Saccharomyces cerevisiae S288C: one gene and its partners. The protein of the gene in region 2 binds, or shares a complex with, the protein of the main gene of each other region. Each region holds a gene or a part of one and is shown on either strand. Other genes may lie near its edges.

Region 1 (2,703 bases), on a different chromosome or scaffold from region 2:
AACAATGATATTGGGGCATTATCTTTGGAAAGTAGCTTCGAGAGAAAAAGATATGTCTTATGATGAATTTTACAAGGAAATGCAGCGTAAAAACCAGTTTAGGGTATTCGAAGAATTAAAGCACGTAAACTCAGAGTTGGCCACAAATAGAAAAATCGCATTATATCGCATCTTTCAATGGGAACCAAGAAAAAGGATTTCTGTTGGCAAACTTTTAGATATGCAGTGGATGAAAAGTACGAATTGCTGCCTAATATATGATTCCACATAAATATCTTGTATACAATATTCACGGCATGCAATTATAGAATAAGACAAGAAAAAGAATACAACTCCAATGAGTAGAACGTCAGCAGCACGTTCATGCGTTTTCAAAGTTAAAGTCATACATTAAAATTTAAGCAATATATACAGGTGGTTAATTAAATAATGACGACAAAGCTCTTTTGCTGGTTTACAGTCCCTTGATTATAACGTTAATGAATGGAAAATGGGGGTACTTTTATTCTTATATGACCCTACTTGCCAAAGAGCATATCTTATTGTATCCCTTGTCTTTCAGTGTTCTATCTACACAACCATCATTAGCCATAATTCTTGTCCCCAGAGGTTCACCGGTATTTTTATTAATCAAAACGCAAGCAGTATCTCCGAATGCAACGGTGGAGCCATCCTTTCTGCACATGTTACGCTGTTTAGACCTTACGACAATTGCGTGACAAATATCACCTTTTTTGACACGGTTGGTGTTGGCTGTCCCCGTAATGTTTTGAGTCAAGGGCTTTGCTTTCTGTATAACACAGACTATTCTGTCTCCAACCATTGCAGGACTCTTGGGGGACCCTTTCCTTATTACTTTAATACATTCTGCTAATTGTGCACCTGAATTGTCGATTACCTTGATGACAGATTTTAGAAATATCATGTTGTGATGTTAGAAAATATGGCTTATCCAGATCTCAAAGGGTTGACGACACACCGTTCTACAAATCCGCTATGCCAATATCCACGCTTCACAATTTATCCGAACTCTTCTATAGGTCCCTTTTCTTCCATCCGTCATTTAGCAACATGATTTAAGGCTGTTCAAAAAAATATTCTGAGTTTTCGCACGTTGCACGAGTCGCAATGAATAGCGCCAAATAAGTGATAGAGGCATCAAATATGCGATAAAAATACTTATTTACATATTTCGTAATAGTAATTATGAAGTTCGTTATAATTTATAAAATGGGAGAAAAAAAAGTAAGCACAATGTATGTATTTTTTCAATGCAATCAATATCATTAATCATAAGTCATGAGCCATTATTATCGTGAATGGCCTCGCTTAGGTTCATTTCGTTTTGAAGGACTTCTTCAATCCTTTTCAATTTCCACCTCTTATCCAAGTCAATCGTCAAACATCCAATGACTGTGTCATACAAGCCTTGACCAATCGTTCCTTCATTTTTTTTCCTGTCAAATTTACAGACCTGAGCTAAAGAAAATCGGTCAAATTCGCCTACTTTAATCAGAGAGCGTAACCTAGGTTCGAACTCATGATTAAAGGGTAATTTTCCTACTAACATTGTATATAGCATTACTCCCAAGGCCCAAATATCGGATGCTGGTCCTAAAGGAGAAACAATACATGGAAAATCAGTCGATGAACCAGACGGTGAACTTGTAGTTACACCGGAATTCGTGACTGCGGACGCCTTTGTAGAGGATGATAGAGAAGATAAATTAGAGGAAGATGATGATGCTGCGCTAATTTCCGATTGAGAGGAGTCTGGTGAATCATAAATATGCATTTCAACTGATTTTGAACGTCTTGCATCTGAGTATCTTAGAAGTTCTGGCGAAGCGTAAGGCAGAGATCCGATATATTTAGAAGGTTCGGGTTCCAGGTTTGAAAAATCGGTTGTCTTGTGCCTCCCATGAAAGGGACTCCGATGCTGTGGTTGAGGTTGAGAGGCTGGCTTGTGAAATAGATTAGAAGAAGAAGAAGAGGATGGTTGATTGAGATGCTTTAATGAATGTGAACTGGAGCTAACCATTCCTTTTGGTGTAAACGGTTGATGCTTTCGATTTTCAAATTGGTATTTTAAGTTTTCACTAGCGTCAAAATCATTAGTTCGGTCGTCAGGTAAAAAATTGGTTGTGGGATACTTTATCAAATTAGTTTGTTCAATACTTTTTCTCTTTCTATGGCTGTTGCCACTACTCAAGTTTTCATCAAAAGTATCGTTACGATAAACATGCTTCTCATCGAAGTGGCAACTCATTCCAAAATCGCATAGGAAAACCTTCCAATCCGATTTTTTACCTTCTTTTTGTAACAGACAGTTTTCTAATTTGATGTCACCATGAACAATCGTTTTGGAATGCATGTACTTTAATGCAGATAATAGTTGTAAGCTTAAAAAAATGGTCAATCTGCATCTCTCTGCAAATGGTATCTTCGAACGTTTGAATTCGTCCCAAGATATTACCAAGTCGTATAAGGTACCATCGTTAATTCTTTCCGTTAAACAATACATTGCATAGTTGTCATCAAGCTTCCAATCTAAAAGGGGGAGTATTCTGTTATGCTTCAAAGTCCTCCATATGGCTACTTCTCTCAGCACATGTTTCTTGATATTTTGGTGTCCTTTGAACTTCACAATTTTTATCACTCTACCAACACCAGTTTCAATATCAAAGCATTCCCGTATGATCC
Region 2 (2,532 bases):
TCTATATTATTTGATTCGGGAAACAAACTTGTGGTAGTCTTTTCTTCATCTGCTGCATCTTTGCCTTCCTCCTTTGTCGCATTTTCACAAGAATAATGATGACTTAGATCTGGCTTGGATATAATAACTCCGCTGACGAGCTCTCTGAAGAACGCGTATATCTTGCCTGGAATGGCCCTAATATGTTTCTGCGGAAACAGTAGCGTGGTAGAGGGCATTTTTGAACGAATGTGGTATAGCCGGTATAGTTTGCCTTTTCCTTTAGTCTGTAATGTAAATCTACTTTTAATCAATGAGTCCTTGCAGTTTATACAAGAGTCAGCTTGCTTTTTTTTTCGCTTGCAGGGATGGGAAAAAGCAGTAAAAAAAACGTCAATAGTGATACAGTTCATGTCATAATTACCACATGCCCTTTATATGTCTATGTACATATAATTATATAAGTCCATATATACGTGGCATTCTATTGATCATCAGTTATTTACAGCAGGAGACAGTCAAGCGTTCGCTCACGCTATCATTTTCGGAAGTTATAATGCCATAACGTATTTGGGGGGAAGTCAGTGGGCACCTTCATTTCCATCGGGAATCGCTTGCCCTTCTCGGAAGCATTGGCAGCCTCAAACAGACGAGGGCTGAGTTCTTGTAGAAGGTTCATAGATCTCTCAATGCTCTTATATTGTAATTCCAACTGTAAATTTCTGCGCTCCCGTTGTTGCTGCTGATAAATTGACCAACACTTCTCAATGGTCTGATGTTTAATCAGGTCTTCACGCGCCAGCTTCAGCAACTTGGGCTGCTTTCTGCTTGCAGACATCACACTCAACTGCGTGACGACCCTTTGTGCCAAAGGTGACAGTGAGCTCTTGCTCTTTGTTCTCTTATTTCTGATGAAGACCGTGGTCCCAGATACCTGTTCTAGAACGGCTCTGTGTGGTTTTTTGAATGTTTGTGCCAGCATGTGTTATCTTCGTTGTGTAGCGTAGGTCTTCGTCAGTTCAGTATCCTAATCTGCAAATATCTGGAGGTATATTAACTTATGCTTCCCTCCATACAGGCAGGCCCCAGTCTGCTTCATCTTGTTTCTCGCTGGGAACTTTTGTCGCCCCATACGATAGTCACTGTATACGTAATTCTCAGCCGTGCATATTTCACAATAAAGACAGTCTAAAGGGACAAAGGCAAAGCGTCAATGGACAGACGACAATTAACTGGATATTATTTTATGTGTTGAGTATTCAAAGCACATAAACAAAAACAGATTATGATGGATAGCGGAAAGAGTGATATAAATAAGCATGCATACAAGGAGACAGCGACCCCGCTGCCCGTAGATCCGCCCTCTTACGAAGAAACAATGAAGCAAGATAAGGAGGAGGTCGAAGCCGATGAAACGACATCTTCCGCACACAGAGACAGCTTTATGAGGCCTGTTTACACTCACCATCCGCATCCAAGATCCCACAAGGGATATCCGGGTGCGAAGACCCTTACATATACTTCACGGTAGGTGGTAAGCGGTATATGTACATATACATATATATATATATATATATATATATGAGCGTGTGCATGGATGTACAACGATAACAAAAGCAGGTACAGGGTATCAAAATATTTTATATAATATAGTTACTTAGGATATTTATTATTAGGTCTAAAAAGAAATATTACGAACAAACATGATATATTGGTGTAGCGGAAAAGGAAGATAAAGGAGGGAGAACAACGTTTTTGTACGCAGAAACTAAGCAATAACACATGCTGGGTCCCAGAAGACACCTTTGATAATATAGTTGTCCTTCTTTTCACTGCTGGTCTTTTCTTTTGGAGCGGCGGTAGCGGTAGATGGTTGCATTTCTATTCGATGGCTTTGTACTTATTTTGGTTTTATCCGAGAAACAGTTACAGATCCCTCTCATTAATTCATTTCTGGCGGTTTATATATGAAGACTCTATTTCATTTTTTTACTTGATTTTCAGCAACCACTGAATCTGTATCTTTATCTCTACCATTTTAGGTTTCTTAACTGTTTTTTCTGATTACTGGGTTTCATTTAACATGTAAATTTCCTTTTTGGGTAATTACACACTCGTTTGTAACAAGAACAAAGAATAAAGGTATGGGCCAACCGTAGCAGTAGGTGCCTTTTTTCTGAACACTGAAACAGATCGTGAATGCATGTATATGCGTACATAGAAAATAAAAAGTAGTTGATTACATAGCTTATGCCACGTTGCACACTATCCTGATGTTTTAAAGCTCCTCGGATATAACACATCCTAAGCCCATAAATGCCTCTGTCAACACCCTTTCGTACGCATAATTAGTGTTGAACCCAGACGCAATAAATTCTTTCCTGTGCTCAAGATCTTTGATGAATGGGTCATTGTATACTGAACCTTTCAACGTAAACCTTGGGTGTGCTTCTCTATCACCGTTAAACGGCGTGAACGGTACAGCATCTTTGAGTCTCGAATTCTGTACGTTCACATTTGAATTGAAATATGGATTGTTTTTCAGAACTCTAT
Region 3 (2,691 bases), on a different chromosome or scaffold from region 2:
ATATCTATAACGTTACATACAATATTTGGTAGGGTAGGGTATTTGATGTAATATTTATTATTAAGAACTTTTGTCGTGCTAAACGTTGTACTGTACAACTATTAGCAAGATATTTATGCACGACAGTAATCTATAGTTGTAACTCTAAATCACACACCATAGACAAATGATCACTTGCATATTCTCCAACATGTGGTTGTCCATGCTTTGTCATTTCATTACCGGGCGGCATTCTCAAAAAACCTCTGCATTTAACTTTATTTTCTTTTTCAAAATCGCCAAGGGTTTCCACTTCCTGACAATTACTTTGTGGGTCCCATTTCTTTACATAAAATAGATAGTCTAATAAACCACGCCAAGTGTTTGCCCAATTTGAAATTTCAGGCTCACCTCTATCATTATCAAGACCTGCATTTTCTGGATGAACATTCTTATACCCAACAGAGTATAGTGAAATAGCCCTCATATCCAATGAGTTATGGAGTTGTGCCATTTTATCTACGAGTTCAGACTGTTCTTCATTAGCATGAAATTTTTCAGGAACGGGGCTCTCAGGTTGATCTTTACCATATTTTTCAATATTCCCGCCTTCTTCGTCATCTGCACCTTCTTCGCCATCACGGACCTTGGAAAACTTATATGAAGTGCTGCACCCAATGACGGTCTTTGCCCTGTTTCTATAGTGCACTGGTTTGGATGTCATAGATAAATATGGTGTGTCGAACGGCTGGGAATTAAAATCACCACAGAAAAAAGGAAACCAATGAGATAAATCCCCATCATTTTCGTTCTGTAAAACATTCACACGATGCATGAATTCCTTCATCTTTTTTAAAACAATATAGCATTGTCTTGTTCGTTCATAAGTACCAAATGGATGCCAAAATAGATGCGTAGTGCCGATCAAGATACCGCATTTTTTAGACGATTTTTTACCCAAATTCGACAGTACTTTCTCAGAAAACTTCAAGGCTAAGACTAATCCCACGTTGTTTGTCGTTGTTCTAGTGGAAATGCTTTCTGAACTTTCTTTATCATAGTCGATTAGCATTTTGTCAACCTGGTGAAATAATTCTCTCCTCCACATTATCGCGACACCATGGTTTTTTGTAGCATTTCTATAATATTGTCCATCGTATCCCAATTTACTGAATTCATCTTTCCAAAAGCTTTGAAACTGAATATGATCAATCTCTTGCAAACAAATGACATCGGAATTATAATATTTAAACTCGTTTAAGAGAACTTTAGAACGCCTGTACCATTTTAAAGCGTCACCACTATCCGGGAACAGCTTTCTGCGGATTAGAGCTTGCGCCAAGCAATTATAAGTCATTAGCTTGAATCTAAATCCAGTTACTGGCTCTGCCTCATGTAGAGATAGGAAAGGTCTTCTGATAAAATGCAGCTCTGGCGGGCAGTCCGGATCAACACCTTGAGCCAACATTGCATCTCTTTTAGCCTTTCTCATAACTTCCCTTTCGGCACGAACCTTAGCGATATGTTCTGGGGTCACTATGGGCTTCGATTTTTTACCTTTCTTGCCCTTCTTTTTATGTTGAAGTAACGAATCATCATTGGTTTGATGTTTTGCATCTTTTACAGATTTATTAATTTCTACTTCTTGGTCGGGCGCAACATCTGGGGCAACCACTTTGACTTCTTTGTCTTGTGTCATATTTACTTAATACTCTTAACTACAATTAAGAAGCTATAAGGAGACTACAATCTCATCTTCTTGCAACACTACTTTTCCTTTCCTCTTGCTTTAGTGCAACCATTTTTTGAAAAATGAATGGTCTTTCTGCACGAAATATCTCTCGAAGAGCTTTTCTAGATATTAAGGATAAAGTATATCATCCCAAAAGTTAGGTGATGGAATCAATATTGATGGACCAGCTAAAACACGTTGAAAGCAGATATCAGGAATGGTGTTTTACAAAGTCACGTTGAGTAGGTCGCTTATCGGTGTGCCACACACAACGAAGAGCATTGTCAAAAGTTTGGGTTTAGGTAAAAGAGGGTCCATAGTCTACAAAAAAGTAAACCCGGCCATAGCTGGCTCCCTAGCTAAAGTAAAAGAGTTAGTCAAAGTAGAAGTAACAGAACATGAATTAACACCATCGCAGCAACGAGAGTTGAGAAAGTCAAACCCTGGGTTTATAGTGGAGAAGAGAACCATCGACTGAAACAGCGAAAATAAGGCAACTGGATTTCCTTTCTTCTTGATATTCCTGACTTATATATGTATATAGTATTATTTTTTCCTGCATAGGCACATATGTTAATAGTAATTTATGCAATTTTTGATACAAAGAAATCAATACACTATCTCGATTTCATATTTTATGTATGTATATATTTACAAGAAGAAAATTATGCATGGTCTATTGAATTTTATATTTGGAAAAAGAGTCCCTTTTTATAGCTTTTCCAACTCTAACATTCCTTCTAAACAGTCAATTTTTGAAATTTTACAATTCTTCACGATATCTCCAATCATCGGATAATGCATAGAACTTGGATGCAATTTTAATGTTCCTCTAGCGAACGATAAGTCTGGAAAAACACATCCAGTAAATCCGTTCTGCGGTACTGATGTTACCATTACATCGAAAGTCCTTTCTGGCTCTAGTTTGGTTAGCTTTTTTAAATAATTCAGTGTCCAGTACGTCGACGAATTACGGCTAG
Region 4 (3,317 bases), on a different chromosome or scaffold from region 2:
AATTCGCCCAATTCTCAAAATTCACCCATTTCCCACACATATGTGTTTTAGGAACGTTTAGGATAAGGAATCGTCATACTGACGTACCTCATTTTGAGATACAACAAATCATATATTATAAGACTCCATGGCCAAGTTGGTTAAGGCGTGCGACTGTTAATCGCAAGATCGTGAGTTCAACCCTCACTGGGGTCGTTTATTTTTTTTGTATTTGTGCTTATTTACTAAATAACCATTTCACCCTGTTATAATAATGCTTAAAAGAAGAATGTAGTTTTTCTCTTTTCCTTTAACTGCTTTACTTCTCCCGAAAAAGCAAGATGCAATCTTTTAATATGTTTGAGTTTGCTTAAAGTATATTCACAAAAAAGAAAATAAAAGTTAAAAATTTCTGAAAATCAGGACCTTATTCGATAGTTGGTCATAAATTGACTGAAAAATAGAATAATTTCGGACACCAAATGAATCATTAACAAGACAATATCTTAAGGTATGTACAAGTGAGAATATTACTTATATATAAAACGGTTAACAATTTTTTAGTGGTCCAAAGCCTTGATGTTCATGACTTTAGAATTAGACACAACTGGCACCCAATCCTTCTCTGGAGACAGTTCTTCTAGCTCTATTTCTAATGAGCTCTTTTTTACATTCTGTTTTAAAAAGTGTCTAGAACCCTTATTTTGAGCTTCTTTGATATCTTGTAAGAGTTTATCTTTTTCCATTACTAGGTAACCTCTTTTCTCTTCTTTACTATAGAAATCAATATCCCTTCTTTTCGTGGGTCTAGCCTGTAGTGGTACTCTTCCCCTCTTCTCAAGAAACCACTGGGGGTTGAGATGTGCCCTTAGACCCAACGGTGTGTAGTAACGAGCTGTAAACTTACCTCCTGCTTTTTCAATAGCCGCAATAGCCTTAGCGGATGCTCTAGAAGCCTCCAAAGCAATCGGTAGATTGTAGTGGAACTTTCCGCTGGCTAGAATTTTAACTCCGTACTTTATGGGACCAGTTACCAGACCAAGCTTTCTCATCTTATTCATGTCTAAAACCTCGCCTGGTTGCAAATGAAGCCTATTTTTATCATGAAACCATTGAATGCGTTTCAAGTTTAATTCCTTTAATGGTTTGGCGCCAACGTTGGTAAATCCAATTTTAGGAAATAGCTTGTAAATTGGAGTTTGACCACCTTCAAACCACGATTTTACTTTACCACGCGCCTTTTGACCCTTTTGACCACGCCCTGATGTCTTACCTAAACCGCTGGAAGGACCACGCCCAAGTCTTTTGAAAGACTTTGTAGAACCATCTGACGGTTTCAATTGTCCCAAAATCGAAACATAACGATAACTTTGAAATGCTAATACCGGCGATTTGAATAAACCTCGGAAAAAAATATCGTTACCAGCTACGCTAGTTAACATCATGGACGGAACAAAAGTGTTTATTAGTTTGCGACCGATTACGGTTGTAAAACTATTTCTTAATCCTGTTTGCCTTTCCGCTTTCATCAACTTCTAAAGGTCATGAGCTTTAATTTTACGCACTGCGTTTAGTGCAGTTACCTGGAGTTTCAGCCGGGTAAGAAAACTATACGATTGCCAAATAGAAAAACGGATATAAAGATAGTAGCTGTGAATAGTAGCTTTGTATAGTACATAAAGGTACCTTATCTAACATTGCTTGCGACGCAGAATACGCAAAATATACTGTTTAATTGCAATCAGGAGTTTGCTACGGTATTTGGTATAATCGGAACTCATATTGTCCTACGTTCACCGAGACCAATGAACGCACAATAAAATGGATACTTGGAATGCCCTACCCAAAATATGAGCTGCGTTTGTTTTGTGAAAAACGAAAAGTAATTAAGTTGTTTTGCAGAAGTGTGAATAATTGGGGGACGCCATTTGGTTTCTCTCTTCTGATTGATTAAAGTTAATTTCGGCACAATAACCCAATGACTGGCTAGGAAACTTCTCGATGCATCCGTGATCTCCCAAGGACGAAATGGTTTTTATCACGTCCTAACGACATCATATGTCCTCGAGGAGAACTTCTAGTATAGTATTTATTAACAATGGAATCCCAACAATCATCAAATTATTCACCAAATATACACAGATTCTTATACTAACTAAAGTAAGAAGATTAGGATTTCCATACTCATTTTGTTAAGTAGCACTTGTATATCCGGTTTTCTCAAGTTCTGAGCTTCTATGGCCAAGTTGGTAAGGCGCCACACTAGTAATGTGGAGATCATCGGTTCAAATCCGATTGGAAGCATATTATTTTTATTCTACGGTAAACATGCCTGATGGTGATTTGAGACAGACCCCATTGCCTCAGATTTGTGAAGAATAGAAAATGTGTACATTCATTTTGATAAACTATACATATACTTAACTTTTTAACATGATAAATCAATATTGATATGGTCGGTACTGTTCACTTTATCTATATTTTTTTTCTTTCGTGCAATAATCGTCGGCTTTAATAATATTATACATACAAAGGGAAAATGAAGGAAAGAAATATGAAAGGATGAATAAGTCTTTGATATGAATATGTAGTGTTGGTATCTAAACCTAGTCAGCGCAAAGAACTATTATTGGAATCCTTTGCATCATCGTAATCATCATCACCATCTGAGACATTACTCCCAATATTTGAACTCACATTATCGGGGTTGACAATGTGTAGTTGTCTTTCTTCCATCATATCGGGCAGCGAAGTAGCACTGAACCTTTGGTTCCCGTTATAGATCGAAGGAGGCTCCTCGTACACTACCGAGGGAAAGTGACTTCTTTTGCTGATATTATGTGCATCACCAGTAATAATAGAATCTCTGCCGCCCGGCGCCCTTGTCGGCAGATCATAAGTGGCAAAAGTAGACGCTGTATTCTTGGACAATGCTGTATTATTCCTAGAGGGTATGTGCCAGTTAGTGCTCGAAGCAGACGGTGGAATAACAGGGTTAGCGTCAGCATCACCCAGTGAGTACGGCTGGTACTGCTTTGTCTCTTCCAAGTCCACATGCTGAGAAGATTGGCGACGTTTTTTCCATACGAAAAAGAATAACGCCAGAGCCAACAAGGCAACTGTACCACAAACCACACCTACTACGACACCTGCGATGGCGCCACCACTCAAGCCTTTGCTCTTGGACGAGCTCGATTTCCCGTTTAAGAGAGAACTAGTAGAGGAGGACGTAGACGATACTGTTGCATAAACAGAGGTCCTGGTGGTAAAGATCGTGCTTGCTTGTTGGTTAGCTTGAGAAACCACGGACTGCGTCACCACACGGGTAGTGTAATGCG

Evidence for each region.
Region 1: MRPL28 (region 2) and MRPL38 share a complex: the UniProt entries of both Saccharomyces cerevisiae proteins name them as parts of the mitochondrial large ribosomal subunit.
Region 3: MRPL28 (region 2) and MRPL33 share a complex: the UniProt entries of both Saccharomyces cerevisiae proteins name them as parts of the mitochondrial large ribosomal subunit.
Region 4: MRPL28 (region 2) and MRPL10 share a complex: the UniProt entries of both Saccharomyces cerevisiae proteins name them as parts of the mitochondrial large ribosomal subunit.

Annotation. Positions count from the first base shown.
Region 1 is NC_001143.9:128,856-131,558, reverse strand, and holds MRPL38 (mitochondrial 54S ribosomal protein uL14m MRPL38), read right to left. Parts: upstream 926-2,703; coding exon 509-925; downstream 1-508. Other genes in the region: putative serine/threonine protein kinase KKQ8, read left to right, coding at 1-271; protein kinase NNK1, read right to left, coding at 1,298-2,703. UniProt on the Saccharomyces cerevisiae protein: Component of the mitochondrial ribosome (mitoribosome), a dedicated translation machinery responsible for the synthesis of mitochondrial genome-encoded proteins, including at least some of the essential transmembrane subunits of the mitochondrial respiratory chain.
Region 2 is NC_001136.10:1,384,502-1,387,033, reverse strand, and holds MRPL28 (mitochondrial 54S ribosomal protein mL40 MRPL28), read right to left. Parts: upstream 962-2,532; coding exon 518-961; downstream 1-517. Other genes in the region: STP1 (Stp1p), read right to left, coding at 1-218; CMI8 (Cmi8p), read left to right, coding at 1,268-1,510; MFA1 (mating pheromone a), read right to left, coding at 1,748-1,858; TFIIH/NER complex subunit TFB3, read right to left, coding at 2,258-2,532. UniProt on the Saccharomyces cerevisiae protein: Component of the mitochondrial ribosome (mitoribosome), a dedicated translation machinery responsible for the synthesis of mitochondrial genome-encoded proteins, including at least some of the essential transmembrane subunits of the mitochondrial respiratory chain.
Region 3 is NC_001145.3:840,014-842,704, forward strand, and holds MRPL33 (mitochondrial 54S ribosomal protein uL30m MRPL33), read left to right. Parts: upstream 1-1,928; coding exon 1,929-2,189; downstream 2,190-2,691. Other genes in the region: NGL2 (RNA exonuclease), read right to left, coding at 131-1,678; DSS1 (exoribonuclease II), read right to left, coding at 2,423-2,691. UniProt on the Saccharomyces cerevisiae protein: Component of the mitochondrial ribosome (mitoribosome), a dedicated translation machinery responsible for the synthesis of mitochondrial genome-encoded proteins, including at least some of the essential transmembrane subunits of the mitochondrial respiratory chain.
Region 4 is NC_001146.8:102,595-105,911, forward strand, and holds MRPL10 (mitochondrial 54S ribosomal protein uL15m MRPL10), read right to left. Parts: upstream 1,509-3,317; coding exon 540-1,508; downstream 1-539. Other genes in the region: WSC2 (Wsc2p), read right to left, coding at 2,590-3,317. UniProt on the Saccharomyces cerevisiae protein: Component of the mitochondrial ribosome (mitoribosome), a dedicated translation machinery responsible for the synthesis of mitochondrial genome-encoded proteins, including at least some of the essential transmembrane subunits of the mitochondrial respiratory chain.